6 linked regions of the Coturnix japonica genome follow. The protein of the gene in region 4 purifies or fractionates together with the protein of the main gene of each other region. This does not show direct contact. Links are inferred from orthologs where the notes say so. Each region holds a gene or a part of one and is shown on either strand. Other genes may lie near its edges. The genes, in order: SLMAP, RASSF3, MAP1B, STK3, MAP1S and RASSF6.

Region 1 (4,796 bases), on a different chromosome or scaffold from region 4:
GTGCATGGTGAGGGCAGAAGTTCTGCAGGGGATTGTACTGTACTTGTGTGGGAAATGGTTTCTCAGTGGTATCAGTGTAGGTAACAGCAATAATGAACCACCCCACCTCCTTAGCCTGAACTGCAGAATGGTTTCTGGCACCAGGAGAAATGTGGAGTTAAAGTAAGACTTGGTAAAACAACAGACGTTCTTAAGCCTGGCTGAGGTGAGGCACTGAATAGCGTAATTTTCTTCAATTGAATTTGTATTAAAATCAAGTGAAGTGATGGTGCAGAAACACAGCAAGAACATTATTATACATTAAGGTAATGCAGGTAGTCCCCAGCTGTGAAATAAGGGGCAAAGGGAATTGTGAAGGAGATGGAGTTAGGTCAGCAGAAAATGTGTGATGAAATCTTGAGAGGTAGGAGCGGGGAACAAGGCATGTTGAATTGGAATATGAGAAAGTTGTCATTTCTGGACAGCCCGATTTCTACTTGTCCCAGGATTGCATGGCTTCACCTTTGTGCACCTTATTGCTTTTGTCAGATTGTCTTTTGTTTGAGCTGAGGTGAAGCTGTTTGGTACTTTGATTCAAAAGCTTGTGAAGACAACAGCATGGTGTGGCCATGAGTGCTATGAGTGGTGAAGTTCTGTGTTAACCTGAATTAAAATGACAGTAGATGCAAAATGATTGAAAGCTCCATTTGTTCAATAACAAATTTACCTTCCTGACTGTATTTAAATTATGAACCTTACCTTAACTGAGTCTAATGAAAGATCCAGAAATGTTTAGATTCATCAATTCTCTTATTTCTCAGGTTGCTGCTAACACGCCCAGTATGTATTCTCAGGAATTGTTTCAGCTTTCACAGTATCTACAGGTAATTTTTTTCACGGCAGCATTAATTGGATTAAATATTTAATCTCTGACTGATTAAAAAGTAACCAAAAATGTATATTTTTGTCTTCCCGTTTGTAAGCAGGAACAAAGCACTTTACCTTATTCTGTAGTGAAACAATATAGGAAGTGTTATAATTGAACCTAACATAGCTCCATGTAAGCTTCTGGGGTTCTTAATGAGCAGTATGAACTATGGCTTTCATATAAGGTGTAATGGTAACGGCAATTTGTATTCCAGTTAACGATATGGGTTTTGAGACTTATTAATTTTGGATGCATTTGCTGAAGTAGCAGGAAGCAACTCAGGTAGATGCCCTTTTGTAAGAGGGCAAATTCAGAGCTATTTACCAGTCTGTTCACTCTTGTATCCTGGAATTGTTAAAAATTCCTTGCTGACCCAAAATAAATTCAAACACAAATAGCAATTCTTGCATGGCATTTATTTCCTGTGACCCGATTTAGGGACTAGCAGCTCAGTGCACAGAAGCTGCCAAATCTGCCTTCTGGTCGGTGCATCAATTTTATTGCTGAAATTAGTGACAAAAGTTCAGAGTGGGCATATTACTGAAAAGTCTTGGAACTGTTTACTGTGTGTGCTCTGCATGTGCAGTGTATGCTTGAACAGATTAACCTTTTTGGGAACCTGACATTGTAAGACAACATTTTCTAATGGAAATATCCAAATGAAAGTGTGGGTGAATAAAATGGGATGGTTTTACTGAAGTTTTGAATATGCTCACAATCTTTTTTTTTTCCTTTAAATTCAGTGTTATTTGGTATCTTTGCTATTGCTTCTGTTTTGAGTTGCACCAGCAGAACTGACCAGTTGGCTCTCTTGATCTCATTGTAGGAAGCCTTACATCGGGAACAAATGTTGGAACAGAAGCTGGCAACCCTTCAGCGACTACTTGCTGTTACACAAGAGGCTTCAGATACTAGTTGGCAGGTACCAGAAAGCATCCTTTCCCTTTATAGGCTGAAAAAGGAGCAAAGTATAAATTGTTTCTATTGCTTTATAAATAACCTGGAAAACAAACAAAAGAAAAGAGTAAAAAGCATTTTGTGGTTCTCAAACTGTAGAAGACAATGTTTAATAAGTTTAATGTACAGATTCGATAACTTTAAATGATATTAATTGATTATTTAATCGATTAACTGATTATTGATTGGACGGGTAATGGTTTTAAACTGAGATGAGGAGGTTTAGGTTAGATATTAGGAAGTTTTTCACTCAGACGGTGGTGACGCACTGGAACAGGTTGCCCAAGGAGGTTGTGGATGCCCCATCCCTGGAGGCGTTCAAGGCCAGCCTGGATGTGGCTCTGGGCAGCCTGGGCTAGTGGGACCTTGCCTGTGGCAGGGAGTTGAAAACAGATTATCTTTATGGTCCTTTTCAACCCAGGCCATTCTACGTTTCTGTGATAAATACTCCAGTAATGTAATTCTAAAGCAGAAGTCCACTGGATCTACTTAAAATACAGTGTTCTGTTGAAATGGCTTATTTGTTTTGCCATGACTAATACTAATATGAGGTAAAACTTCTTCTCTTCCAGGCTTTAATAGATGAAGACAGGCTGCTATCAAGGTTAGAGGTTATGGGAAATCAGTTACAAGCATGTTCAAAGGTAGGTAATTCATTTAGTACAACTCCATACTGGAATACTGAAAGATAGCTCTTCTGAAGTATTTTGAAATGAGACACTCAAGAAAGCAGTTTGAACACAAACTTCCTCATGTGGGACTGTGCTGTGCAGTTTTAACCTGATTAGGCTGAAAATTGTAGGGCTGTTCTGTATTTCATGGAATCATTTTAAGTTTAGATAAATGGTTATCTATCAGCATTTTTTGAGCCCAAACTGGTTTTTCTTTTCATATACTGGAAAGGAATTTGTCATCTGTGAGAAGCAACCAATCTGTCAGCCCTGTTTTCTTTTCAAATATGGATTTGAAAAAAGGCATTGTGCATATGCTGACATTCAGAAGCAAAGTAAAAAGAATTCTCTGACTTGTGTGTTATTCAGGCCATGTATGCTTTAATTATTTTTTTCTTCCTCTCAACTACCTAGATGATATTTTATTTTTTGCAGGCCCTGTCTGAGATCTCTCAGATGGGACCTTAGAGCATTTGGCTTTGTCTGACAGTAGGACTCCTAGGCTTGACTCTGTTTTGTGCCTCAAAAAATTACAGTTCTGCTATGATCAAAGAATTGCAGGTGTGCACTGTTGTACATGGAAGTGGTTTATACCCAGTCATGTCAAGAATCCTTATTCAGTGATTTACCTGCAATGTTTTCTCATCTACCAGCAAATGCTGAACATTTTGGAATAGAACAGATTATAGCACAATCTCACATGTTTAATCAACAAAATATTAACTTACATTTTTTGTATTCGAATTGCATTTCCAGAATCAAACAGAAAGAGCTTATAGCATTACAAGAAGATAAACACAACTATGAGACAACAGCCAAAGAGTCCCTGAGGCGGGTCCTACAGGAGAAAATAGAAGTGGTCAGAAAGCTGTCTGAAGTGGAGGTAATGAACTAGTTTGCTGGAAATACAGAAATACTTGCAAATGCTGCTAATTAGATCCATGTTTATTGCCTGTGACAGGCCAGTGTCTGTCATATTGTGGCACTTACAGTATATTAAATAGAGCTGTTTATTTCTTGGATGCTAATCTTAGGCTTAAACTGTTAATGGGGGCTTTAAACTTCCTTTTTCCCCCCACTCTTGAAAAATATTAAGCTTTCTTAACATATTTAGTATGTTTGGGAAATAAGTGTGGGTGAAAATAATGAAAAGAATTCTCTGACTCCTCCATTATTCTTTTTCCTCTTCAATTTGACTCTTGGTGGAGAAATATTAATCTAACCTCAGTATGGGGTTTCCTTGCATGCTCTCTAGCACATCCTTTCCCCTTCACGCAGAAAAATTATTGGGTCCTGGTTGGAACTGGTGCTTTAATTATTAAATAAGGTAGTGTGAAATGCAGCTTTGGTTAAATTGTGGCACTGGACTGTTTTGATGATGAGGAAAGAATACTAAGTTAAAGCTTGTTACCAAGAAATACAAGTACTTTTTTGTTTACTGTCTGTAATGTGATACAAATGAAGAAACAGATCTTGAGTAATGAGGAGGAAACTCTATATGCCATTTAGCTATGCTGTTGGCCACAGCTGATGCCAGCTTGTACTGGAGCATTCCTTGTCTCCTGAAGAGTTGGCTGCCTCTTGAGTAAAGGGCATCTTACCTGAGATGCTTGCACACATGGTGGAGTTCAGAAAACAAATCTAGAAATGGCATAGAAGAGAATGAGGGAGATGAATTGCACATTTCAGTTCTTTATTCCCATTGGTCTTAATTGTTTTCATGGCCTAATTTGGCTTTGAGGTGTGGTGTTGCTTTTTTTTCACATGCGTGAAGCTTTCTTCATGTAAGTTCTATTAAGTAGACTATTACAAAGGCTTTTGCCAGTGCTTGTTTTATTGTGTTTGGACTTGATTATTAGGAGCCGAGCAGTTTGAAAACAAATATGATCAGTTGCATATATTGTTTTGAGGGGAAATGTAGGTCAGCTGGAATGTTTGGTGGCTTATTAGTCTCAAGTTTTGCATTTGCTCCACACAAATTTTCTCTTACAGCGGAGTTTAAGTAATACAGAAGATGAATGTACTCACCTGAAAGAAATGAATGAGCGGACTCAGGAAGAATTAAGAGAATTAGCCAATAAGTACAATGGAGCTGTAAATGAAATTAAAGATCTTTCTGACAAGCTAAAGGTAACAACAGAACTTTATTATACTTATGGTGATGTTGCAATGCATAGAAAAAGATTTCATTTCTAAAGCAGCAATCAAATAAAGGTTAAGAAACCACTTAAGCAACAAATAGTAGAAAGAAAGGTGCATAT
Region 2 (4,796 bases), on a different chromosome or scaffold from region 4:
CTTGGTGTGCGTGATGCTCTCTGCGCCATCTGATGAAAAAGTTAGGTGTATGTCGTGTTTGGAAATACCAGAAGATGAAGAAGGTATCTTCAGCATTGTGTTAGTGCATTTAAGAATCTGCCTTCTTCTGTAGGCAGACATTGACAGCGGTTGCAGGAGCTCAGATGTTTCTGGCTGTCTGGAAAAAAAAAAAGTCTCAGAATGATGATAGCACAGCTGTGATGTTTTAAATACTTATTTATAGCTACAGAGCTGTGTTGTATTTCCTCCTCCCGCCCCCGCATATATTCAGATCCTGTGCTGACTAGAAGCTGCTTCATTCATATTTGAGCTTAGCTCTGCTCTGCTGCCTGTCCATAAAGCTCATTAGTTCAGAATGACGTTGGAGAATGTGTAGATTTGTGGCCACAGGTGCAGGTCTGTTAAAATCTCTAACGTTGGCTTGCACTGATCATTCAAAACCTGTCAAACATCGTAATTAAAGATGGTTAATTTCTGTCACTTCTTCTCCTCCAGTTTATATATGCAAGCTGTCCGACCGAGAACATCCCCTCTACCTGCGTTTGGTGGCAGGCCCCAGGACAGACATGCTCAGTTTTGTTCTACGTGAGCACGAGACTGGAGAGGTCATGGTATGTTATGCTCAGCTTTTTGGTCCTTTAACTTCAGGGATCCTGTTTGGTCTGTGCTGATGTAATGATCTGGGTTTTTTTGGGGGGGGGGAAGCTTTCATTTTTTCTTCTCCTGATTGAGTTTTTTTGTAAGCGTTTAGACTGTGGTTAGACTGGCCTGCTGTTACTTGCAGAACAGAAGACAGCATAAAAGAGCTGAACATTTTCAGATTGGTGAGACTTACGAGCAGGGTTCCTGATGCTGCGTATATATAAATGCTTTGTGCATTTCCTGTTATCTCATCTGTTGTTTTCTTTCTCTGTCCTCACAGTGGGAAGCTTTCAGCCTTCCTGAACTGCAGAACTTCTTGCGTATACTGGACAAAGAGGAAAACGAGCAACTGCAAATCTTAAAGAAGCGTTACGCAGCTTACAGGGACAAACTTGAAGAAGCCCTTGGTGGGGTGTGGAAACCTGGTTAAAAGGGGGCCAAAGCACTCTCAGGAAAAATGCACACAACCAAACGTCAGTATAGCATGCCAAACCCAAAGTACAAAAGAGCAGCAAAGAGTAGTTTTCTTTATTCAGAAGACTGTTTTGTGATGCTGGGGTACCTGAATTTTGCTATAGACTTAGTTCCATAAGCCAGGTCACTTAGCATCTCGCACCCACATGCGTAAGGGATTCTGCATGTTTGTACATCAGTTTGCAACCCTCTGTGTGCCTAGAGAGTTTTCCAAGTAATCTTGGTGCAAGCTGTGAAACTGTAATCGATTTACTAGGATGCTATAAAATAAGATTATTTTTTTTCTTCTTCTTTGCTTTAAATGGTAGCTTTACAAGTAAGGAGGTGCAAATTGATTAGTTTAATAAAATGAATAAATCTATCTGGAAAATAATCAGTTGGAGCACTATCTTTGAAATGAAATTGATTTGCACTACCTTTCTGTTTTTGAATAGTTACTGTATAATTTGTGAGAGAACTGTTATAGATGGAAGGCAAATGAGACCTTGTGTTTTGTTCTGTGAGAGTTGTGGAAGGCTTTCAGTTGGTCTTCCCAGAGAAGGTAAGGAGAAAGTTGAAGAGAGGGTTAGAGTTGGAGGCAGGGAAGGTGTAATAACCAATGGAGAAGGACTTGTTTTTAGATAGAAATAGTATTTATACAGAGGAAAGTTAAAATACTAATTCTATAAGAGTAAAGTTTTAGGATGTTGTAATATTGTGACTTAAGTTTTAGGGCTTTTTAGTTGCATAAACCCACACTGGAAAAGAAATAAAGATGATTGAAATATTGGGAAGGAAAAAGAGGCAAAAGCTGAATAAGAACGGAAGTGGAGCTGCACGTAGAGGTCACAGTTGGAGAAGCTGGTTCTGTAAACGTGTCGTTGGAAAGTGCAGCAAAGCTAAACAAGAGGCTGCTTACTTGAATTATGGAATGTGGATGTTATCTAAGATAAAACTCTGTGAGAAGTGCCCATCTAGTGAGCGTTTAGGATCCAAGCTGTAACTATGGTTGCATTTGCTCTTTATTGGAAGTCAGATCTTTCCTGTGGCTCAGCAATCCATGTTTAGGATGGATAGTTTTGATTTGTGTTATCTGAAAGACAAAAATAGATTCATCTGCTTCCTCGTCTGTTAAAGGGGCTCGGTCAGGCAGAGGAAGCCATTTCTTATTTGTGTTTCCAACATAACAGAAAATTAAATTATATTGGCTGTGTTGGTGACCGAGTTTAGCAAGTCTTGCTGGTAGTAATTCAAAGCATTTTTAAATCCTTAATTGAAACCTGATTACCAAATTCCTTACACTGCTGATTTACTTGATTTAAATGTAGGAAAAATGTAGCAAGAAAACGTTCTACTTTATTGTAAATAAAATTGTGGTTCTTTCAGAGTTATTTATCTAAAAAGCATGCTGGAAAGAAACCAAAGAAGTGGGAGTGCAATAGAGGCGTGAGGCAGGTCGGGTAACCCATACTTCAGTCATTACCGCACCAGAGAGGAAACAGAGCTCTGTAGGATGGAGGTGAGGCGGGGAAGTGCTGTAGGCTGAGGGGCTGCTCCAGCTGGTGCAGTGTTTTATTTTGTTTTCATTTGGGTGGGTTTTTATTTCCTCCGCTCCAAGGATGTTCCTTTTGAACTCCCAAGGAGTTGTTAGAAGTTTGGCGACATCTAATGGATACGGTGTGAAACTCCGCCATGCTCCTGGTCATCAGTTTGACATGACTGTGCCTTTGTTTCCTTTCCTTAAGCTTCTTTTTCAAAACCCCTTCGCAGGTGTTTTTTGGTTAAAAATGAAAAGAATTTGACAATCGTAATGTTTTAAAGCGCTAAGAGAAATTAAAAGTAGGACTAACTATAAAGTATCTATAAGGCATATCTTGTTTGTTTGTTTAATTTCACATGTAACATTGTAGTGCATGTGCAAGTTAGTAACATTATCCTCAAGTGAGACACTTTATAATGGTTCAGGGAATGCTTTTCTGTTCTGTTATGGTTTGTTTTTTCTATGAAGCAGCAGCATGTCTGTGGGTATTCTGTTAACATCTACTTATTTATATGCCTGCCCGTAACGATGTAACCTTTACATAATCGCTGTTGATGTTGAACCATTTGTTGCTCAGATTTAAACACTGTTTGAGTCTAAAAGCGGAGTATAAAAATATGTGAATTTTGTTTTTACTTGAACTATCGGTCTTTTAAGTGGGCACATCTGCATTTACTTTAGCCAAAAAAACCTCAATCAGTGTTGGATGCACTATGAGTTTGGAATTGGGGGGAGAAAGGGGCAAAGAACCCAAACGGCTCACTATATTTTAACTCTGTCTTAGTCCATGGTTAATTATTGTAAGATGTCGTGTGTGGGGTTAATTATTATTATTGTTATTATTATTATTTTTTACACACTGGCAATTACAACAGCTTTAATTTAAAGAAAAGTCATGGTCGTCCCTGGCCACCTTTTCTGTTTTTAATTTTAGCGTCAAATTAAACTGTCAAAGCTTCTGTTGCAGAACTGCTTTCATTTCTATATGTGATGGTACCAGAATGATCAGACGATGGGGTTGGGGGGGGGGGGGGGGAGGAGGGGAATGCAGGGAAACATTAAAATATATGTCTTTAAAAACAAACAAGCATTAAACTATTTATAATTTTGACAAGCTTAGTTTTATTTTTATAGGGAAGTTTTTATTCCCCTAAAAGTTATTGATGAAATGGCAATTGATGGTTCCATCATTAAAGTTGAAGTTGGCAATACTTCGCTACGTGGTATGTTTTTATTTTCGTGTTGCCTGGAGTTTGTGTTGGGATGGTTTGAGTGCTGGATGAGGATTCCTTGTGGCACATGGTTATGGGAACTCCCTTCTTGCTTCTCCATGAGTAGTCAGGATGGTACCTGTGCCCTGGGAGTGAGGAGTGCCACACAAGTACATAAGCCTGGCTGTGTCTTTGTGGGATGGTGATGCTCTGTGATGCTCTTCTGGTCCCTCCTGTGCTTTTATTAGGGGGCAAGCACAATAACAGCTCTCCTTTGACCTTGGTGTGAATCCAAAAGGTGAAAATCCAGCTGTGCTCCTGACTGCCCAAGAACCTCCGGCCTAGTGTGTGGGAGAGGGGAGTGTGGGGAGGCTGCAGGGTGTGAGTTGGGCCTGCGTTGGTGAAAAGGCTCACAAGGACAGAGCTGGTGAAGCTGCTCTGGCTCCGCAGGTTGGCTTTACGTCAGGATGTATTGTAACAATGTTAGAGGTTTGGTGACAATGGGAAATAAAAACAAATCGCCACCTGACCAGTGCTCATCTTCCTTCTGTACTAGACGTCTGGAAGAACTGCTGGATTTGCTGATGGAGTTGGTGTTTTTGAGTACAGATTCACCCATCAGTCGGCTCCCTCTGCTGTCCGTGATGCCGTGGTGCTTTGGCAGGAGCACACAAGCACTCAGCCAACACCAGTGTGGGAACGCCTCCCTGTGGCCCAGTGCTCCCAGAGGGACAGGTTGGTGTTCACCTGGCTGAAGCCTGAGTAGTAGCATTGAGTCCAGGAACGCTGTTAGACACTGCAGCACTAAATACTACTGCTCCTTATGGACTTGGGCTTCGTGCTGAGCATGCACTGTGCATCCTACCTGTGGGGTTAAAAGTCACCAGGCAGACGTGTCCTGGGTGCTGCCAACGCTGCTATCACTCAAC
Region 3 (5,578 bases), on a different chromosome or scaffold from region 4:
GATGAGGAGGAGAAAGAGCAGAGAAACCAGATCTGCTCTGCTGGTCTCCCATTGCAGCTCCGAGGAGGTACTCCATGCAAATACAGACATCTGCATTTCAAGAGCTTTTTCAGAGAGAATTCACTGAGCACTTGTTCCTTGTCAGCAGTCCAGTCAAGGTGTAAGCATGTTTGTCTCTGGGATATCCTCCCAGTTAGCGAGATGGAATACTAAGCTCTAAAGAGAACTGAAAACACAGTATCATCTATGTTTCACTACCACTCTGAAGTAAAATAACAGAACTATCATCAATCACCTCCGCTTCCTGACTTGTACATCATCGTTTAGAGGAATAAGTGGTGACTCTTCTGCAAGTCTCCTTTTTTTTTTTTCTTTCTCAAAAATCTCTTGGCCATATGGTGCATTTTCAGGGCGTAGTTTTGGCACGCACACACAGCTCAGCAAGCTTTAATATCTTCCAGGTGTTGGAACATTTGAGAGCAAGAAAGTAAACATGATATATTGCCACACATGTACAGCACAGATGAAATATATGAGTAGTGAACTGATGCTGATCATGAAGTTGGAGCACACTGGGTGTTGAACTTGAAGAAGCAAGAAGACAGCAGCTTGCTGGCCTCCAACAGCAAACCTGCGTGGGAAGGCTGCAAAGCTTTCTGGAGGTCAGTTAAGCAATATGGACTATGATTCAGCACTGCTGCTAATGACAGAGCCTGCCCACCATCCCAAACCATTTTTGTTGTGAATCCAGATTAGCAGTGGGTTATGATTCTGATTAGGCATAGTCATACCACTGAGCCCATCAGTATCCAAAATGCAGTACTTAGGGCAAAACAACTACAAAGAATAGCCTAGGCATGCTATCCACACAGCAGCTGAGGATGAGATTTGGTAAAATAGGCCAGATTTGCAGATGCATGATTCAGCATTTTGGATGCAAAACCTATACAAACACCTTAAAATGTAGTATAAATGTATCAAGTAAATTATACAACCAAATCAAGTTTGGATGCAATGGAAGTAAATCTGGAACAAAAATCCAAGGTCAATCCAATGATGTGTATTATTATCAGGATGGAAGAAACTACTGTGAGGATGACTGAGCTGTAGCTATTTCCTTCCTTCTGCAGTCTCTGGAGCATAGCGCCACTAGACACAGGGCTAATCAGACAGCAGACAGGGCACACCCAGCAGCATCTGCCAAATCGGTGGAAAGATCCTGAAGCTTTCTCCTTACTCCCCTCTTCTTCTCTACTGGATGGTGGGCTGGAGGACTGCCCCCTCAGCAGAATGACATCCCAAATGTAATTACTGAAAATGCAGCTTGCCAAGCAATTCCCACTTCATGATATATTAAGAAATGACTCTGCATTCCACCAGGTTACGTAGCATCACGCCACTGATGTCCTATCAGGAGATGTTTTTTGCTGGCATATTGCTCTGCAGTTCAGTGCGTGAATCCACACTTTTCTCTGGTGGTACTTAGGAGATGCACCAGAGAAGACCTTGAGGCAGAGTTATCAAGAACCCTAAAACCACTTAAGGCTCTACTGAGGACAAAGGCTGAAAGAAGCCAGTTTTTCCCTACTGCACTTTCCAAAGGGAAAGATTAGTCAAGCCCTCAAATAGACAGAGCTACAGACTCAGAGTGTACTGATCCAGAACAATGCACCCCAAAATCTGATTTTTTTCCTAGCAGGCAAGATCCCTGTCAAATCACCTGACATCAGGAAGAATGAGGTGACTTTTCAACCAAAATGATGAATAAAAACACTAAGGTATTTCCCTTGAATATCTAAAACTGTAAGCAGGTGTTAAGCTTGTTGGCTGGAGGTAGCAGCAACAGAGCTATGCAGCAGCAGCTTCACAATAGAAGCTTCAAGAAGCGACTGAAGAACATTTCTTCTGAGGAAGGATGACATCAGATGCCTTTACAGAAGTTTTTTTCCATTTGCTCTATAAATTGCATCAATTTAATTGAAATTCAGCCAATTCACTTCAACACAATCAACAATTAGTTAAAACGAGAGAGGGAGAGAGGCGCAATGCTGAAGAGGCTCTGAATGACAAAGCATCTGCATCAGTAGTCCTCCCTAGGAGACAATGGTTGAGATAAAGATCAACGGGTCACGGTGAAGCTGGTAAGCCGGAATGAGGCAGATCTTTGCTGTGAACAGCCAAGAAAAAGAACCATGAGAAATCGCCAACTGCAGCAGAAAGGGTTGAGAACACAACAATAGAGACAAGCGAAGTCCTAGCTGGAGTGCTGAACCACACCTACATTCAAGGCTGGTATCAAATCCCTTGCAGGCTCCCTCTCTCCTTTCACACAATAGCGTATTTCTGATTTTTGCACTTTCATCAGCCCAGAACAAGGTATACACTAAAAAAAAACCAAAAATCACATCTTAGGCTAGTTTAGCAAACTATGAGGTCCCCCAATAATTTCCTTTGTGCTTCATACCACACTTACAGCAACAGGGCTTTTCACCTCTCTATGCACACCGCAATCTCCTTTATTAGAAACCGCATCAAGAACTTACAGAACTCGGACATTTCACATGTGGTACCTTCACCCAAAGCCACCTTAAGGAAAGGGCAAACGAGCAGCGAGCCGCCGCAGCCCGGGATGGACAATAACGGGGCTGGGCACTCAGACTGCAGCCTCGTTACCAGCATCTTTTTTATTTCTTTCAACACAGGGGTGGGTGTGTGCCATGCTTGGGTCCCGAAGGATTCTGCATCGCGCTGCCGAAACTTGGGCACAATGCGCAGGGATGGAGCCGCAGCCCTGCGGTCGCTGGGAAAACGCCCCACTGCCGCCGGGGTCTGCGGCGCTGCGACGGAGACGGCGATGGGGACAGGGATGGGGATGGTGACGGGGATGGGGATGGGCTGCAGCCCCCACCCAGCCCCTTTCCCGGCGGCGCTGGAGCAGGCGCCCTTTGTCCGCTCCGGGCTGCCATAGGGACCGCAGTGCGGTCTGTGCCACGCCCACCCGCCGGTGTCTCCGGGCAGACGGGCTGGGCGTCCGCCGCAGCCCCGACAATGGCGCGGGGCGGGAGCGCGGGGCAGGGGCTGCGGGCGCGGGGACCACGCGGGGGGCCCCGGGGTGCGGGCGGGGCCGGGCGGGACCCGCAGTTAAAGAAAGAGAAGCGCCGGGGCTCGGAGCTGGGCTCGGCGCTCCCCCGCCCCGCAGGGGGTGCAGCGGGCGCGGCTGCAGCAGCACGGAGCCCCCCGTCGGGGCGCCTTGGGCAGCGGGCGGGGAGCGGCCGCCGAGCGGCTGCCGGGGCCGTGCGGGTCGCAGGGGGAGCCGCGCACCGTGCGCTCCGCGCGATCCGCCGCCGCCACCATCTCACCTCGTTCAATGTTGGTGATGGCGCGGCGCAGGTGCTCCTCTGTCACCAGCTCGCCGATGACCACCAGCAGGTAGAACTTGCTGTCCAGGAAGCGATGCGACAGGCTGGGCGAGGGAGCGGCAGGGTTCGGGAGGCTGCAGGAGGGCTCCGAGTCCGCTTCCACTACCACGGTGGCCATCGCACCCCCCGCTCCGCCCCGCGGCTCCGGGGCGCTGAGGGGAGAAAGAAGGGCCGCTCGGCGGCGGCTCCGCAGGCGGCAGGGAGTGAGGGCGGGCGGGGAGGCGGCCGCGCTTTTATACGGAGACGGGGCAGGGCAGGGACCTGCCGAGGAGGAGGAGGAGGAAGGGGGGGAGCCGGCGCATCCCCGCCGCCGCTTTTCCAGCATCCACGGCTGATGTCATCTGCAGCAAATCCTCCCCGCGGCGGCCCCCGGAAGCAGGAAGGACGCGGGGTGCGAACAACGCCCGAGGGTCGCCGGCGGACCCCAACGCCCCGCGGTCTCGCATCCCGCAGCCCTCGGTGGCCGAGGCCCCTGCGGAGCTCCGGCTGCGCCCAACCGGGCGGGATGCGGCTCCGGGACCCGGCCTTCTGCATCGCCCTGCGGTGCTGCAGCGCAGCTCGATAACCCTTACGGCTAGCAATCGCAGTGGTATTCTTACAGTTTGCTTGATGCTTCAAACGTAGGGCTCCTGCATGCCTTCAGTGTGCATGGATTTGTGACTCACCCCAAGGGTTATGGATAGGGTGCTTCCAGCAGTGGACAAGCATTGAGAAACCGTAATGCTAAGGCCTTGGAATTTCAAAGGGCTTCAGGTGGCTCCTTTTTACCAGCAGCTCCAGTGGAGCTGGAAAACACCTTCCATCACAAAAGCAAAGGGCGGGTTCCTGAGTAAAACCATGCCAGAGCCAGATGTCTGCTCTCCCATGTTCATCAAAACCCCCTTAAAAGGTAAATTCAGTTACCACCTAGCAGTGTTTTATCCTCCCCTAAAACTGGATGGAGTACTCTGGGATAAACCAGCCTCCTGGAGATGTTCTCACTTCACAGAAGCCAGGCAGTAGTTTACACTAAGCATCATTTGTGTGGCTGAAGTGATGCAGGACCTGGGAGAAGATATAAATGTTGATAGCCTGGTTTACAAGACAAGTTCTGATTGCTGGCTGAGGAGATGTCAACATGCAGGTCCTTGCAGCACTCATTGCTCTAGTGGCCTGGTGTGCCCTGGTTACACAGTCCTTGCCTGGAGGAAGTGATACCCCAGGTCTGCTTTCTTAGAGTAAGCACTTTGGTTTGGGGCACAGTGCAGTCATTCTAATCGACATGCACTTGTCATTTAATTGACAATCCCAGAACGTCTCTGCCCACATCTTGGACTGAAACTCTGTTGCTCCAGGTGCTGGTCCATAGCATCATCTCTACCCACTGCACCTAGAAGCTTTAGAATGAGTAATTCTTCTGCTTGCACTGAGCTCCTTGGTTAGTACAGCATTATGTGGTTGGAGGTTGCATCCCAGAGAGGCTTTTGTTGCACTGCCATACATTGAGGGCTGCAGGCACTTTTACAGCCCCATCAGGTGGCTGCGATGACATGGTAGCAAGAGCAGCACTCTTCCAGTGCTTGAAAGGAGCATTTAGACAGGAGGGGGGTTGCCTTTTTACAAGGATGGGTAGTGATAGGACAAGGGGCAATGGTTTTAAACTAAGACAGGGGAGGTTTAGGTTAGAGATTGGGAGGAAGTTTTTCACACAGAGGGTGGTGATGCACTGGAACAGGTTGCCCAGGGAAGTTGTGGGTTCCCCATCCCTAGAGGCATTCAAGGCCAGGCTGGATGAGGCTCTGGGCAGCCTGGTCTGGCAGTTGGTGGCCCTGCATATGGTGGGGGGGGGAGGTTGAAACTAGATGATCATTATGGTCCTTTTCAACCCAGGGCATTCCATGATTCTGTGTGTGAAAAATACATGTAGAAACACATAGTAAAAAGGCTCAATTGTATTGAATCAAAGAAGAAAATGCTGACAAATGGGTAGGTGATACAGTTATACCTGAAATAGCCTGTTGAGATAGTCCTCTGTTCTATGGGAATATTATGCTGTAAAGAACGTGCAGTAAGCACGTTGTGTGACAACAGGTGAAGAGTTGCAGCCAGCCCCTCTGGTGATGGGGATGTTTCACATACTAAACTCTGAACACCAGGGGCTGCCTTTGGGAGAAAATGGC
Region 4 (4,796 bases):
CCATCATGCTGCTTTCAGAGTGCTGACTTTCCTTCCTCACTGTTACAGGTACCAAGAGAGGCAGCTACAGGGGAGGAAAGGGAGAAAACCTGCTGTCTCAGAGATTACATTCTCCTGTTTCATGAGATGTAAGAATGAGTGACTACACTAATTAACCCCCAAGGTACAGAAAGGCAATCCCCCTTCTTAATAGGAATCACTACCAAAAGTGATTCAATTTGAAAATATGAACATGTTTTTGTTTTGTTTTTTTTAAGTTTTCAGCAATGTAAGAAACTAAAAGGATAAGAGATTGCAGTGCAAATGTAAGGGCATTTTTTCTTTAATTGGTTTGGCATACTAACGTACTATTCCCCCTCAGCACATAGAAAATGGCATGGATAGTTACCAAAACTTAAGTGATTTGAAAGGCTGCACAGAAACCACACAAGTCCCCTGGTCCACAATAATCCCATCATGGGAATTATTTTATTTGCTTATAATCTTTCCAAATATTCACCATCACTACTCACTTCCTTAACTTGCTGAAATGTGTTAGTCTAAGATCACTTGATCTACCCCTCCATTACCCTCACAGTTTAATAGGTAAAATACTGTGTCAGCATAAGAACAAATTAAAGCGCGCACTGTTTGCATGAGGTGAATCACCCTGCTCAAATTAAACACTAATCAACAAGTCGATTGCTTTATTGCTACAAACACTGAAGGAAAAAACAAGGCAACAACAACAACAAAATAACAAAGAGGGAAAAAAAGCAGAAGTGATCACATCTTCCTCTCCTCCCAATTTGCTGTACATTCAACAACAAGGAAAACGCACCTGATTTACACTTCCAAACAATCTTTTCAACCAAATTATAGCAGGTTTTTGCACACAAACAGAAATGCAATCTTGTTTGATATAAATCATAAAACGAATTTATTTAAACAGTTGCCTGGAGTTAAGCATTGAATTGTGCCTCATAGAATCAAGCACTAAAGCTACAGCATCACCTATAGATGCTGCCCTTTCAAATTAATGATTTAACTTAAAATCAGTGGGAAGTCTTCAGCCAAGTAACAAACAGATCAAATGTAAACACGTATGTTTGCTGTCTAACAAACACGTTATACACATCTCAGTCCAACTGACAAGTTCATCATTTGAAATCCTTTTCCCCCCCCCTTTGTTATATAATCTTTCACACCACTGAAGTTGATTTTGACTTCTTAATTTATTTCAATATGTTTTGGCCATTCCCTTAAATCATGCATTAGCAAATTAAATTTTAACAAATGCCCATGAATTTACAAAATAATTTTGCAGCAAGATCTGCAGTACTTACTGCTGAATCCACGGTGCGTTGCAATGAGTTTTCAGGAACACTAACACTGAAACAACACCTCCCCACACAACCGCACCATTTGAGTATAGCTCCTTGGAGCTGCTTCAAATGGATGCAGGACAGGAGGCAAAATGCAAGTGACAGGTAGTAGAAGGGAGAATTCACAGGAGGCTACTGTTTGAGTCCTCCAGAAAGACTCATCAAAATACTAAAGCCAAGTGTAGTACTTTGAATCTCCCACTATAGCTGCTCTTCTCCAATAAGGAACAAAGTGTGTTTATAGAAACAAACAGCCCTCTCCCTGACTTTTAACCACCGAACTTGACTTTTAAAGGACACTGATGGTAGACTATTCTCACAGAAGATGAGAAAACACAATGCATTATTAACAGAAAAGGAAAGTAAACAAAAAACATACTTTTCATGGTTCCATCTTCCTCTTCGTCATCGTCGCTATTTATTACCATGGTCCCCAGGTCTGACTCTAGCATGGTACTGTTGTGTTCAATCATTGTCTGAGCGCCTTCACTCATCGTGCTTGTGGCCCGCATGGTACTAGCACTCTCTGAATTGGTCTTCACCATGGTGTGCGAGTCCAGCTCATCTTCATCCTAAAAGAAACACTGGTCAGAATGCAGCAGAGCATTTCAGAAAACCAAGTTAAGATGCAATAATTTAGATGCTTATTCATTGTTTTTTAATCTCTTCACATGACCTAGCTATACTGCTAGACTAACAGGTTTAATACTACCAAAAGAATGTGAAAATAAAAGGCAACCTATAACGGTAAAAGAAAAAACTTCATCCTATGCCAGCTTTATAGCGCTATTGATTTACCAGAAACATGTCCCACACAATCACTTTTATACCCAGCTTTGAATATCTCACTGATCTTCTGGACTCGGTACACTTCTCCGGGACTAAAAATCAGTAACATGTTTTGTTTGGTTGTTTTGAAGCAGATCATCACACCAAGGCTATCACCCTTAACTAAATAATATGTTTTTTATCTAGTATCTTGACAACAACCTGTCTTGAGAGACCACCATGAAGAGGAGCAATCCCAAGCACAAATATAGGAGCAATCCCAAGGAGATGGATCTGGCAGTGATGGCTGATGGAAGATTTAACATGAGCTGTCAGTGTGTGCTTGCAGCCCAGAAGGCCAACCATATCCTGGGTTGCATCAAGAGAAGGGTGACCAGCAGGTCAACAGAGGTGATTCTGCCCCCCTGCTCTGCTCTTGTGAGACTCCACTTGGAGTACTGCATCCAGTTCTGGGGCACCCAACATGAGAGGAACATGGAGCTGTTGGAGCAGGTGCAGAGGAGGGCCATGAAGATGATCAGAGGCCTGGAGCACCTTGCCTAGGGAGACAGGCTGAGAGAGCTGGGGCTCTTCAGCCTGGAGAAGAGAAGGCTCTGGAGGGACATTATAGTGGCCTTCCAGCACTTGAAGGGGGCCTACAGGAAAGCTGGGGAGGGACCTATTAGAAGGCTATGTAGAGACAAGACAAGGAGAAATGGTTTTAAACAGGATGAGGGTAGAGTTTGACTAGATATTAAGAAGAAATTCTTTACTGTGAGGGTGGTGAGACTCTGGAACAGGTTGCTCAGTGAGGTGGTGAGTGCCCACTCTCTGGAAGCATTCAGGGCCAGGCTGGATGGGGCTGTGAGCAACCTGGTCTAGAGGGAGGTGTCCCTGCCTATAACAGGGTGTTGGAACTACATGATCTTAAGGGTCCATTCTAACCCATTCTGCGATTCTATGATTTTGAATCGATGTGCCAGGAATGTAAAACAGAGAAATAATGACCATCCAGTTAATGAATTATTAATTTTATATGGAATATCAATATTTGAAAATAGTGTTGGGAAATGCCATTCATTTTTGCAGTTTGATTTCAACCATGTGCACAACAGCACAGCACTTCATGAATGCATACAAGCATTTTCTACATGAGTACATTTTTAATGCTTCTCTCATTGACTAAACAAGAAATAATGCCCACCGCTGTCAAGACACTGTATGCCAAATTTCGAAATTTTACATGTAAATACTATGTTCACTGATTTTATAAGCTTCCCAATCCAACTGAAAACAGTCATGTATGTACACATTCTCTCTACTGTAAATGAACTTCAATTGCATCCTGATACAAAATATCTCTGGTTAGGAAAGTATGCTCATATCATAAAAATATCAGGTAACATTATTATGTGCCTATTACAAGTAACATGCCTGTTGTTACACAGAACATTAAAACAAGATTTTACCCGAAAACTAATTTTTCCTTTTGCTAAATATGCTTCATATTTTAACTACAGAACAACCTGTAAGGAGTGCAGAAAGAAAGAAACCCAGTTACCCAATTCTCCAGCTCTGGCCCTTTTTATTTCTCACTGAACTAGCTCTTTTCCCTTCCTGTTATTCCCTGACATGGCACACAACTTGCCTGTTGTACAAATGGAATTGCAAGGAGCAGCTACACTGTATGAGTGCCTGTTTCACAAATGGGTAGTCAAAGTAGGTATGGAGAACCATATTTAGTAAGAGTACCAATAGACCAGCTCCTACAACAAGTTCTGTTATGTCTTGGCCCAGAGACACAAAAACAGATCTCACTTGGATTCAGAATCTAGCTAACAACACAGTACGCTGAAACCAGGATACAGAGCAGATTTGAATAAACTGTCAAATACCAAAAGAATCATAGCTTCCCACATTATAATTTGTAAATATTTCAGAGTTCTTAAATTTCATTTCTAACCTGCACACTAAAACACTCTGTGTAGCACCATACCCTTAAAAACTCAAGATACTCCTAAAGACGGACAGTTTACAGATACAGCACCAGATGACTGTGTCTGTAAATAAATAGGAATATTTTAGTAGTGCTCCTCCTGGTGGCAACTTTGATTTTCCTCTTTTTTTTCTTTTTTTTTTTCCCCCCCAGTTCACACTTATCTCACTGCTTTCTATATTTTTCCCTTCCCAAATGGTTATTAGGAAGCCAAAGTATTTTCCTCTAATATTCTCTCTCTCTCTTTTTTTTGCATTGTATTTGAGAATTGTCTAAAGTATTTATTGATAAGTGTTTCTTTCAGTAATGCTGTACAATGGAAAACCAAGTGAGAACATACTGCTTTTTATCTTAATAAACAATAAAAATGAAGCATCTCCAATACAGAGAAGCAGTTGAGATTAAAACAGAGTTAACAGCTGATGTACATGTTTGCTTGACTAATATCCACACAGAAAAGTTGAAAGCAGAAAGGAAATACATTTTCCTGAAGCTTAAATTCTCTCTATATTTTTTTTTACAAGTGGGGAGAAAGAAAAAAAAAGAAGGTGGTGACCACCAATATGAACAAGTAAAAAGTGAATTAATAAGTGCCCATTTTAAGATCTTCTGGTTTATTAAAAATGCTGATTTTTTAAGTTCCTGAGCCAAATCGAGCATCTGGATTC
Region 5 (5,553 bases), on a different chromosome or scaffold from region 4:
CCACTTCCGCTTTGAGGGCGGGGGAGAACTGCGTTACCCAGAATGCACCGCGTGACGAGGAGAGGGGGCGGGGCTTGGAGTCACGTGTAGAGCGGCCAGGCCGCGGCCTCGGCTTAAGCAGCGTGGGGCTGGGGGGGGGGGGGCTGTAATGTGGGACCCCTCCCCTTATTGAGCTTCAGATGGAGCCCCACACTCATAGGGGGGCATGGGGGGGCTTGGAGGGACCTGTCAGCTCAATACAGCCCTGATGTGGGGTAGGGATGGGGGGCTTTGAAGCCTTGGGGGGGGGCAAAGCAGTGCCCATTTGGGGGTCCTGAGGCTGCAGCCATTGGCATTAAGGAGGAGGAGGAGGAGGAGGGGGGGGGGTCGTTCCTGCCTCCTCCTGCCCCCCCGCCTCGAGGTGCAGCCCCCCCCCCATAGCTGTGTTTGCTCAATGAATTGGCCCCCGGGCTGCACACAGCGCTGACGTCCATCCTATGGCTCATCCACATCCCAAGGGATGGCACCGCAGGGATGTCTCCCCTCGCTCAGCACAGTGTTGGGTTATTGTTGGGGGGGGGGGGACACAGCCCATAGACAGACTATGGGGTGAGGAGGGAGACCCTGCCTGCGTCAGTGGGTGTTTGCCCACCACCCACGGGCTGTTGAGGGGGGGGATAAAGGCAGCTGAGCCCCGCATTGTTGGGGATGGACGTTGGAAGATGGGCACTGCGTGGCTCTGCCTGCTCTGTGCAGCCAGCGCCGGCCTCGTCCCGCTGGGCAATGGGGGGGAACGAGGGCTGTGGGCAGCCCCACATCGTCAGGAGCCAGAGCTGGTAGGGGGCTGAGGGCTGGGGGCTGAGGGCTGGGGGCTGGGGGGGGGTCCCTGCTGTATGTACCCCTCATTGGGGGGACGTTGGCAGGGTTTTAAGGACGGGGGGGTCCGTGGTGTTGGAACCTGGGTGGTTTTTGGAGCTTATCTCATAGCTTGGGTTAGAAAAGGGCCATCCACGTGGGAATGGGGTGTGGGGATGAGCAGCTTTCACCTCTTTGTTCTCTCTCTGCCCATTGAGCTCCTGCCCCGAGGGGTCGATGCCAGAGGTGCCGGCGTTGAGGCGCTGCAGGAGGTGCTGGAGAAACTGCGACACAGGGAGATGCCACCGAGCACCAAGAAACCGGGCAGGGTCCCCTCGGTAGGGCCGGGGGGGTCTTTGGGGGGGTCTTTGGGGGGGGGGGGGCACCCAGGCCTGTTGCTGATAGTGACAGCTCTTATCTCACAGTGCCACCTCGGGGAGCCCTGTGCTGTGCGGGTGGGGGCTCGATTTGGGAAGCGTTGTAGCTGCCCCCCCGGCACCGTGTGCAACCTGTACATCCTGCATTGCTCCTAAGGGATGAGGACAACAAGGATGCTGCCGTCTATTGGGATGCTGCCGTCTATTGGGATGCTGCCGTCTATTGGGATGCTGCTGGGTTCATGCTGTGTTGTGTGATATGGGGGGGGGGGGCTATGGGTCTCAGCCCCCTCCCCACGTTGAGATCTGCTTCTCTCCGTTGATCTCAGTGCCTTCACCGATCCCTGGGGGTCGCATTAAACCACTTGGACCCTCTGCTACCGCCTGGCTCTGCTATTTGGGGGTTCAGTGATGCCATTGCAGGCTCTAAACCGAGCTGTGGGGGGGTGGGAGCAATAGGGATGCAATGGGGCCGTACCCAGCGCTATGATACACTGCAGTCTATGGTCCCAGAGCCGGGCCCCACCCGACGGCCCCACCCCGCCATCGCCCTTTTAAGCCCACCCCTCCCTCCACCCTCTCTCCCTTCACACCTCGCCCTCCCATTGGCCAGCGGTGACGTCAGTGGGCGTGGCTCGCCGGAGCTGACGCCAAAAAGTAGGCGTGGCTTAAAGGGGGCGGGCAGCGCGGCTGCGGGGGGCGCCGAAGATGGCGACGGCGGTGGCGGCGGCGGCTCCTCCCGGTCCGACCGTGGGGCCGCGCCGCTTCTCGCTGCTGGCGATCGTGGGTGGCGGATGTCACCGGCCGGGGCTGCTGGCGGCCGCCCTGCAGCAGCTGGAGCGAGGTGAGCCGTATATTGCATCCTATTGCGGCCCCATCGACGGGGCCCGGCCACATCAAAAGGCCTGAGGGGGGGGGAGGGGGAGTAAGGGGGGGGTCGTTGGGGCGGGGTCGTCGTGGGATGTGGGGGGAGCTGTGGGCACCGCCCCCCTCCATATGGATGCTCGGGGGAGGACGCAGCGCCAGCATCAATCAGTGCCTGCCCACCCCCGCGGTCCGCCCCCGTTCTCTTATATCTCCTATGTTGCCCCCACCTCCCCCATCTCCCCCATCTGCCCCATCTGCCCCATATCCTGGTGGTCTGCCCCATATCTATGGGTCAGCCCCACATTATGGGTCAGCCCCATATCTATGGGTCAGCCCCATATCTATGGGTCCAGCCCCATATCCTTGTGGTCTGCCCCATATCCTTGTGGTCTGCCCCATATCCTTGTGGTCTGCCCCATATCCTTGTGATCAGCCCCATATCCTTGTGGTCTGCCCCATATCCCTGTGATCAGCCCCATATCCTGGTGATCAGCCCCATATCCTGGTGATCAGCCCCATAACCTGGTGATCTGCCCCATATCCTTGTGATCTGCCCCCCCTCTTTTAGTCCCAGCCATCTGCCCCCACCTCCCATCCCTGGGGGCTGCTTTGTGTAGGAAGAGATGCTGGGGGGGGGTCTTAGCTCCTCCCTCATTGCCAGCCCAGAGCTGTGATACCTCAATGCCGGAGCAGCCCAACGCTGGGGACACCCATGTGTCACTATGGGGGGGGACCAAAGCCAATGGGGAACCATTAGAGAACGGCTCCAGCAGCTCTTTGTGCAACCCCACACTGCGGCTCATTGCGCCATCAGCAGCCGTTAGTGATGGTGGTGGCAGCCCTTCCCCCCCCTTCTTCCTCTTCCAAAGACCCCCTGAGAGATGGAGCTGCTCTATAGGTCCAATTAGTTGGAGCTGCAATGGGTTGGAGGCTTCCCTTCCCTTCTATGGCAGCTCTCACCCCGTTAATCCCATTCATTAGCACCGCCTTTGAGGAGGTGCTGGGAAGGCTCTGCCGTAGCCTCAGGGTTTGGGTTTGGGGTTGTGAGTCACATCATGGCATACAGAGCACACACCAGCAGTGCCACCATCACACCCAAGTCCCCACTCTATCCCCATTGATTGCAGTGGGGAATAGAGAGGGTGAGGAGTGGGGACAGTGGGGTTCTGTCGCCTGCTGTGTGTATGGGGACAGCAGGCAATGCCCATCCTGCAGGTATCCGCTCCTGGGACATCGACCTGACCTCCTGCAACCTGGATGAGCAGCTGAAGCTCTTTGTCTCCCGTCACTCCGCCACCTTCTCCAGCATCGTTAAAGGTACCGAGGTGACACTTAGAGCTGGGGACAGCACAGCAATGGGGCTGAGTGCCACGGTCCTTACCTGACCCCATGGCAGTGATTAATTCATGCGTCTCCAGAGGAGATGGGATGAGATGGGATGGGATGAGATGGGATGGGATGAGATGGGATGGGATGGGATGAGATGAGATGGGATGAGATGGGATGGGATGAGATGGGATGGGATGAGATGGGATGAGATGGGATGAGATGCTCTTTGCTACACAAGCATTTCGCTGCTTCTGGAAGCTGGATTTGGGGAGGAGGTGCTGACAGCCATCACAGCCATAGAGGCCAACATGGTGGTGGTGGTGAAGGGGCTTTATGTGTCTGTACCTTTATCTCAGCCATCCCTGGCTGCTGTTTGGGGCTGAGCCCCGTGATTCCCACGTGGGAAGCTGCTTCCTACACCAACAGCCACATTCATTCCTCCCCTTGAGGGTGGATGCTGGTGGGATTGTGTGGTCACTGTGGTGCCGGCGTGTCTCATCCCATGTGTGTTTGCAGCTCACCACCCCTTGGTGGGGCTGGGGTACCCCATGTCCACATTGTGTTTGGCTCCTGGGGGGGTGGGTGTTTGCTTGAAGCCAATGGAGATCCTCTGGGGGACCCGGCTGCTCCCTTTCCTGCCCCCCCTCCTGCAGCAGGAAGGAGATGGGAAGTGCAGCAGATCCCCTGCTGTCCCGGCTGGCAGCTGTCCCTCTTCCGTAGGGGAAGTGAACAGGTTCTATCCCCATCCTGGGCATGTCTATGTCACCCCCTGACCCACACACAGCCTGGGGTGGGGGGTATAGGGGGGTTGTCCTTATGATCCTGCCACGTTTGGGGAGGGATGGGTGGCAGCTGCTGTCCCTGCAGGTCAGCGGACCCTGCATCACCGCGGTGATGTGCTGGAGACCCTGGTGCTGCTCAACCCCTCCGACAAGTCGCTGTGTGATGAGGTGAGTGGGAAGGGGGGGGGGGGATGTAAAAGGTGTGTGAGGGGGAACAGGGGGGCAGCATCCTCACGTGTCCTCACGCCCCTGCAGCTGCGCAACCTCATCACGGATGTGTCGCAGCACAAGCTGCTGGTGTTTGCTGGGCCCTGCGTGGAGGAGACGGGAGAGTTGATGCTGCAGACCGGCTGCTTCTCGCTGCGGGACTTCATCCAGATCTTCACTGACAAGGAGGTGAGGGGCCGGGCTGTAGGGGGGGGGCACTGTCTGCTCACGTCTGCGGTGTCTCGGCTGAGCGAGCGGAGCTGTCTGTGCTGTGGGCGCATCCCTCCCTCTGCAGCATGAGGCTGGTGGGAGGGTGGCTGCTTTCTGAATCCCAATAAAGGAGACTGGGGGACACAGTTATAGCTGGGAGTGAGGCAGGGCTGAGTGAAGGCCCAGAGATTGCGTGGTGTGTGTTGGGGAGGGAGCTGCCCTATACAGAGGGACCCTGGGTGCTGCCTGGTGTGAGCAGGGCCCTGCCTGAAGCTCTCCCCTCACAGGTTGGGGAGATCCTGAGCTCCGCAGACCCTTCAGCCAAAGCCAGGCTGACCATCAGCTGCCCTGACTTTGGGGAGTGGAAGGACTCGGGCTTGGACCATCACAACCTGCAGGACTTCATTGAGCTGCGCTACAACCCAGGCTGCATCCTGCCTGAGATGGAAGGGCTGGAGGAGTTCATGGAGTACCTCTCGGAGTCATTGGAGCCCCAGTCCCCCTTCGACCTCCTGGAGCCCCCCACCATGGTGGGTTTCCTCAAGCTCTCCAAGCCCTGCTGCTACATCTTCCCAGGTGGGAGAGGGGACTCTGCTTTCTTTGCCGTTAATGGCTTCAACGTGCTGGTGAACGGCGGCTCCAACCCCAAATCATCCTTCTGGAAGCTGGTGAGGCACCTGGACCGCATCGACTCCATCCTGGTGACGCACGCGGGCACCGACAGCCTGCCTGGCATCAACAGCCTCCTGCAGAGGAAGCTGGCTGAGCTGGAAGAGGAGCCAGCATCACAGGGCTCACAAGGCAACGGCGATTGGGCCCGTAACCTCATCTCCCCAGAGCTGGGTGTCGTCTTCCTCAATGCCTCCGAGAAGCTGAAGGCCATCGAGGGCAACTCGCGGGTGCTGAAGAGCTGTGATGAAGCTGCATTGACGCTGCATTATTTGGAG
Region 6 (3,667 bases), on a different chromosome or scaffold from region 4:
TCAGTCAAGCAAATGCCATAATACTTAGTGGGAACTCTCTGGAGCTTAAAATGCATGTCAGAGATATCTTTGCTCATACTTTAAGAGCAGAGTAGCCATGAAGATGGTGAACTTCGATTTATACTTTTCAGACGTTGAGTTAAAGCTTAGACTAGTTAGGTACCTACCAATTGAAAACCACTGGGCTTTCAGGTCTCTCTTGTATAGGTGTTTTTGTAAGCTATGTGAAATGCCTAACTGCAATCTTAGATATGTAAATACCTTTTGCCACTTAACTCTACAGAAAAGCTTCCTCCTAACAAAATTTATCTTTTTTTTTTTTTTTTCTAATAGAAGAAAAGTCATATACATTCTTTTCTTATTTTTGGCACAACTAGCACACTGGTTATTGCAACATTTTGCCTATATACTAGACTCTTGGTAATGGTTTGGAATATAGAAGACTTTAAAGCCTAGTACTTTTCAGCACAGGATTTTTCCCAATCTGAAGTTTCAAGTTAGATTCAGACTTCGTTCTTTGGATGATATAGTCCATCTTCTTAGGTGGTCCCCAACTTGTATTCCAGAGCCATAGTGGAGCATATGCAGTTTCAGCTGCATAATTATCAAAAGAAGCACTTTGCACACCCTTGTGCTCTAAGTGCTCCCCAGTGATGGCACATTCAAGAAAACAGACTTTCCTTTGCCAAAGGCAGTGGGTGATAGTTGCAATATGCCATTCACATCAAACAGTAGTCTCTGTTTTTTTAGAAGTCCGATTTTGAAGGTGCTGGCATATCATACGCTTCTCTTTATGGTATCTGAGAGAGAGAGGGATAGAACAAGAGAGAGAGAAAGAATGTGTTTAATTACACAGAATCCTCTGGAAAACATTTTTAACCTGAATTTTAACATGTTAGTTGAATGGTTAAAAAATTTTGCAGTGAAAGTCATTCTGACAGAAAATGGCAATAGCTTGTATTTATTCTTTTCTTTCTGTTCCTGGCTGGTTTTGTTGAAAATGATTTGATGGACATTGGATAGCAGATTCACAGCTCGTCTAGATTTGCATTGGTTTTGACCTCATGGTTGAAGAGCCACTGGTGCGTTTCTAATCTATAGCTGTTGTGAATACTGAGCTACCATCAGAACCACTCATGCCATTCTTCAGAAATTAAGTTCTATAGGACATTCATCTGCACCTGGAGTTCAGCATCTATCTAAATTGAATGCAGTGACACTTATATAGTACCACAGTATTTACTGCATTTACACATTCCAGGGAAATACACAGCAGCAAGTAGAAACTGAAGTATCAGTTTAAGGCTGAGAAGACATCCAAAGTACAACAGAAGTGATCCTAGGGCTCCTGGTTTTATGGAAAACTCCAACCTCGTATAAGCAGTACTCTGGTATCTTCCACAGCAACAGCTCATTTAGGGCTGCAGGATACAGAAACAACTGTGATTCCCACAAAGTTCAGTGTGAGCAGTAAGCGCACACTGATACATTAATGCATCAATCTATTGAGCCAAACTATAACTGTAAGCATTCTCCCAGACCGAAAGTGATCCCCCCTAATTTCACTTCTTACTTTGCAATTGTCTGTTGAATCTCCTGTTCCTCTTCTTTGTTTAACCTGTGCAGAATTGATTCCAAAAAGGGAAGATGAAATTGAATATATTGAGCAACCTACCAAAAAAACAAAGAGAAATGCCCATTAGTGACTATATTAACTGGGAAGAATACTGTGAACTGTTAGAACGATTATATACATACATCGCTGCTGACCTCTTCCACATCCCTGTCCATGAGAAAAAACTTGACAGCCTTCTCTGATGGCCCCTGCAGGAGTCTGTGCAGTAAGGGAATGTCTCCACTTCTCAGCTGCTTCTTTTCTGCGATTTAAAAGCAATGTGCTGATATATAGAATACACAATAGCGCCTCTAAGTACTAGATGCAATTGGAAGTCTTGTTTCTTGGCAAAGTTTCTATCTTTGCCTGATGTGTTATTATTAAGGGTATAATAAGTCTCTAATGCATATTCTCAGGAAGATGCAACACCTACATTTGTACAATGATAGGCCAGTGTCTATCAAAACGCAAAATGAAGAAGCTGCAGTTTAGGTAATCAAGTACATGTTTAAGAGATTGGTTCCAGGCCTGACAGTGTGGCTGTAACTCACTGAAACAAAATTCGCTTTATAATTTTCAAACATCCTTTCAAATTCACATTTTGACATTTAAGGTACATTTTCCTCTGTTCTCCCATTCTCTCAACTATTATTCTTAACAATAAACAAACAAACAACAATCTTTTCAAGAAGAAATGGAATTGTAATACATTGTGAAAGTGGGCACTGGAAAATTGAATACTTCGAACTAGATATCTGGGGGATCCAAGACTGTCTTGAAATTGTGAAGTCCAAATGCAGTGGGTTTAGTTAGTCTGGTTTTCACCAAGTTAGCAGTTCAAAGCCACGCTGGGTATCTTCTAGCACTCTCTAAAACTCTTATATCCCTTTTTCAATTAAAATATTACATAACACTGCCAGATGGAAACTGGCATCCTAAGACTGTCATGTCTTAGGATGTCATCTAGAACAGAAGTTACAGCAGAAGAGTTTCTCAAGCAGATGTTATTTACTGGAAAAACTGAGGCTTGTTTAATGGAAGCAGCCATACTCACAGCACCCAAAGCACCCAGAACACAACTATTCAGGTTTTCCTCTCCATCAGAGAGGCTCACATATCTAAGGGGTCCCAGAAAAGCAGAAGTGCTGCTTTGTGCTTAGGCACTGTGTGCAAGGACAGATGCCTGTGATGAATCCTGTCACTCCAAGGTGAGCAGTCCCCCCACATACACAGAAGATAAACAGAAATGAAGCAACCCCACAGTGATATCTGGCTTACCTCCGGACACATGGATTATATAAAGTGCAAATTCATGGGGACTGTTTTCTATCTGTAAACACAAAACCAAAGAACTGTTCAGACTGATTTATATGTTTCTCAAGCATTTTATCAGCAGCAGATACGCTACATGCTTCTCAACTGTTAAATCAAAACCCGCAAACTAGGCCTTTGTCTATTGGGCGAGTTAGAAGACACTGAGTATGGATAAGATTTAAAGCTGTGCTGTCACTACCTTTGTCCTTCTACTCCACTGCCTTACGATTGCCAATGCTACCACGTTGTCTAAAGGAGCAACACACACCACCTTAGACCAAAAACAGATCTTCCCAGAGTTTCCTTTCAGCATCCCTAACTATTTCTTACAACTTTCTTTTCAGATGATAATTCGATTTTCCAAGAATATTATCCTTAAGACAGCAACCTGTGATCTCTCCTGATTCACTTACCTGCATCACCAGGTTCAGAGAAAAGGGTTCTTTTCTAAAAGTTATTTTTTCAGAACATGCTGCACAACTGTACAGAAATCAACTTCTTTTGGCTTTTAGAAATTCCAAGGGGAAAAAAACAACAAAAACAAACAGAACAGAGCACAGAGTGTCGTTTTTAACTGTGGCTTTCTGGATCTCTCTGTATGCCTGGATCCAATGCAGTGTGCATACTAGGGACTACTCATGCTAAACGACGGTTCCTTTTTGTTTCCAGAAAAATACAATTACTAGGGCCTGTCACTAGGGGGAAGCACAGTCCTTAAACATCCTATTTCTGCTCTGG

What was found.
Region 1: the proteins of STK3 (region 4) and SLMAP purify together in Homo sapiens (affinity purification with western blotting; 3 studies listed by BioGRID and IntAct, with this or other methods). This does not show direct contact. The link is inferred for Coturnix japonica from reciprocal best matches to the Homo sapiens genes STK3 and SLMAP.
Region 2: the proteins of STK3 (region 4) and RASSF3 purify together in Homo sapiens (affinity purification with mass spectrometry; 4 studies listed by BioGRID and IntAct, with this or other methods). This does not show direct contact. The link is inferred for Coturnix japonica from reciprocal best matches to the Homo sapiens genes STK3 and RASSF3.
Region 3: the proteins of STK3 (region 4) and MAP1B purify together in Homo sapiens (affinity purification with mass spectrometry; 4 studies listed by BioGRID and IntAct, with this or other methods). This does not show direct contact. The link is inferred for Coturnix japonica from reciprocal best matches to the Homo sapiens genes STK3 and MAP1B.
Region 5: the proteins of STK3 (region 4) and MAP1S purify together in Homo sapiens (affinity purification with mass spectrometry; 3 studies listed by BioGRID and IntAct, with this or other methods). This does not show direct contact. The link is inferred for Coturnix japonica from reciprocal best matches to the Homo sapiens genes STK3 and MAP1S.
Region 6: the proteins of STK3 (region 4) and RASSF6 purify together in Homo sapiens (affinity purification with mass spectrometry; 4 studies listed by BioGRID and IntAct, counting the BioPlex papers as one, with this or other methods). This does not show direct contact. The link is inferred for Coturnix japonica from reciprocal best matches to the Homo sapiens genes STK3 and RASSF6.

Annotation. Positions count from the first base shown.
Region 1 is NC_029527.1:6,474,361-6,479,156, forward strand, and holds part of SLMAP (sarcolemmal membrane-associated protein), read left to right. Parts: intron 1-800; coding exon 801-863; intron 864-1,733; coding exon 1,734-1,829; intron 1,830-2,436; coding exon 2,437-2,508; intron 2,509-3,291; exon of another isoform or gene 3,292-3,301; coding exon 3,302-3,418; intron 3,419-4,527; coding exon 4,528-4,665; intron 4,666-4,796. UniProt on the Homo sapiens protein: Associates with the striatin-interacting phosphatase and kinase (STRIPAK) core complex, forming the extended (SIKE1:SLMAP)STRIPAK complex.
Region 2 is NC_029516.1:30,674,418-30,679,213, forward strand, and holds the end of RASSF3 (ras association domain-containing protein 3), read left to right. Parts: intron 1-516; coding exon 517-632; intron 633-943; coding exon 944-1,093; 3' UTR 1,094-3,867; downstream 3,868-4,796.
Region 3 is NC_029547.1:23,152,635-23,158,212, forward strand, and holds the start of MAP1B (microtubule-associated protein 1B), read right to left. Parts: upstream 3,641-5,578; 5' UTR 3,538-3,640; coding exon 3,360-3,537; intron 1-3,359. UniProt on the Homo sapiens protein: Facilitates tyrosination of alpha-tubulin in neuronal microtubules. Phosphorylated MAP1B is required for proper microtubule dynamics and plays a role in the cytoskeletal changes that accompany neuronal differentiation and neurite extension.
Region 4 is NC_029517.1:115,653,296-115,658,091, forward strand, and holds part of STK3 (serine/threonine-protein kinase 3), read right to left. Parts: intron 1,937-4,796; coding exon 1,744-1,936; intron 1-1,743. UniProt on the Homo sapiens protein: Stress-activated, pro-apoptotic kinase which, following caspase-cleavage, enters the nucleus and induces chromatin condensation followed by internucleosomal DNA fragmentation.
Region 5 is NC_029543.1:2,349,244-2,354,796, forward strand, and holds the start of MAP1S (microtubule-associated protein 1S), read left to right. Parts: upstream 1-1,872; 5' UTR 1,873-1,919; coding exon 1,920-2,055; intron 2,056-3,293; coding exon 3,294-3,395; intron 3,396-4,274; coding exon 4,275-4,357; intron 4,358-4,444; coding exon 4,445-4,585; intron 4,586-4,893; coding exon 4,894-5,553. Other genes in the region: cocaine- and amphetamine-regulated transcript protein-like, read left to right, coding at 477-815, 1,053-1,172, 1,260-1,367. UniProt on the Homo sapiens protein: Microtubule-associated protein that mediates aggregation of mitochondria resulting in cell death and genomic destruction (MAGD). Plays a role in anchoring the microtubule organizing center to the centrosomes. Binds to DNA. Plays a role in apoptosis.
Region 6 is NC_029519.1:45,379,700-45,383,366, forward strand, and holds part of RASSF6 (ras association domain-containing protein 6), read right to left. Parts: intron 2,946-3,667; coding exon 2,894-2,945; intron 1,878-2,893; coding exon 1,759-1,877; intron 1,672-1,758; coding exon 1,574-1,671; intron 801-1,573; coding exon 725-800; 3' UTR 1-724.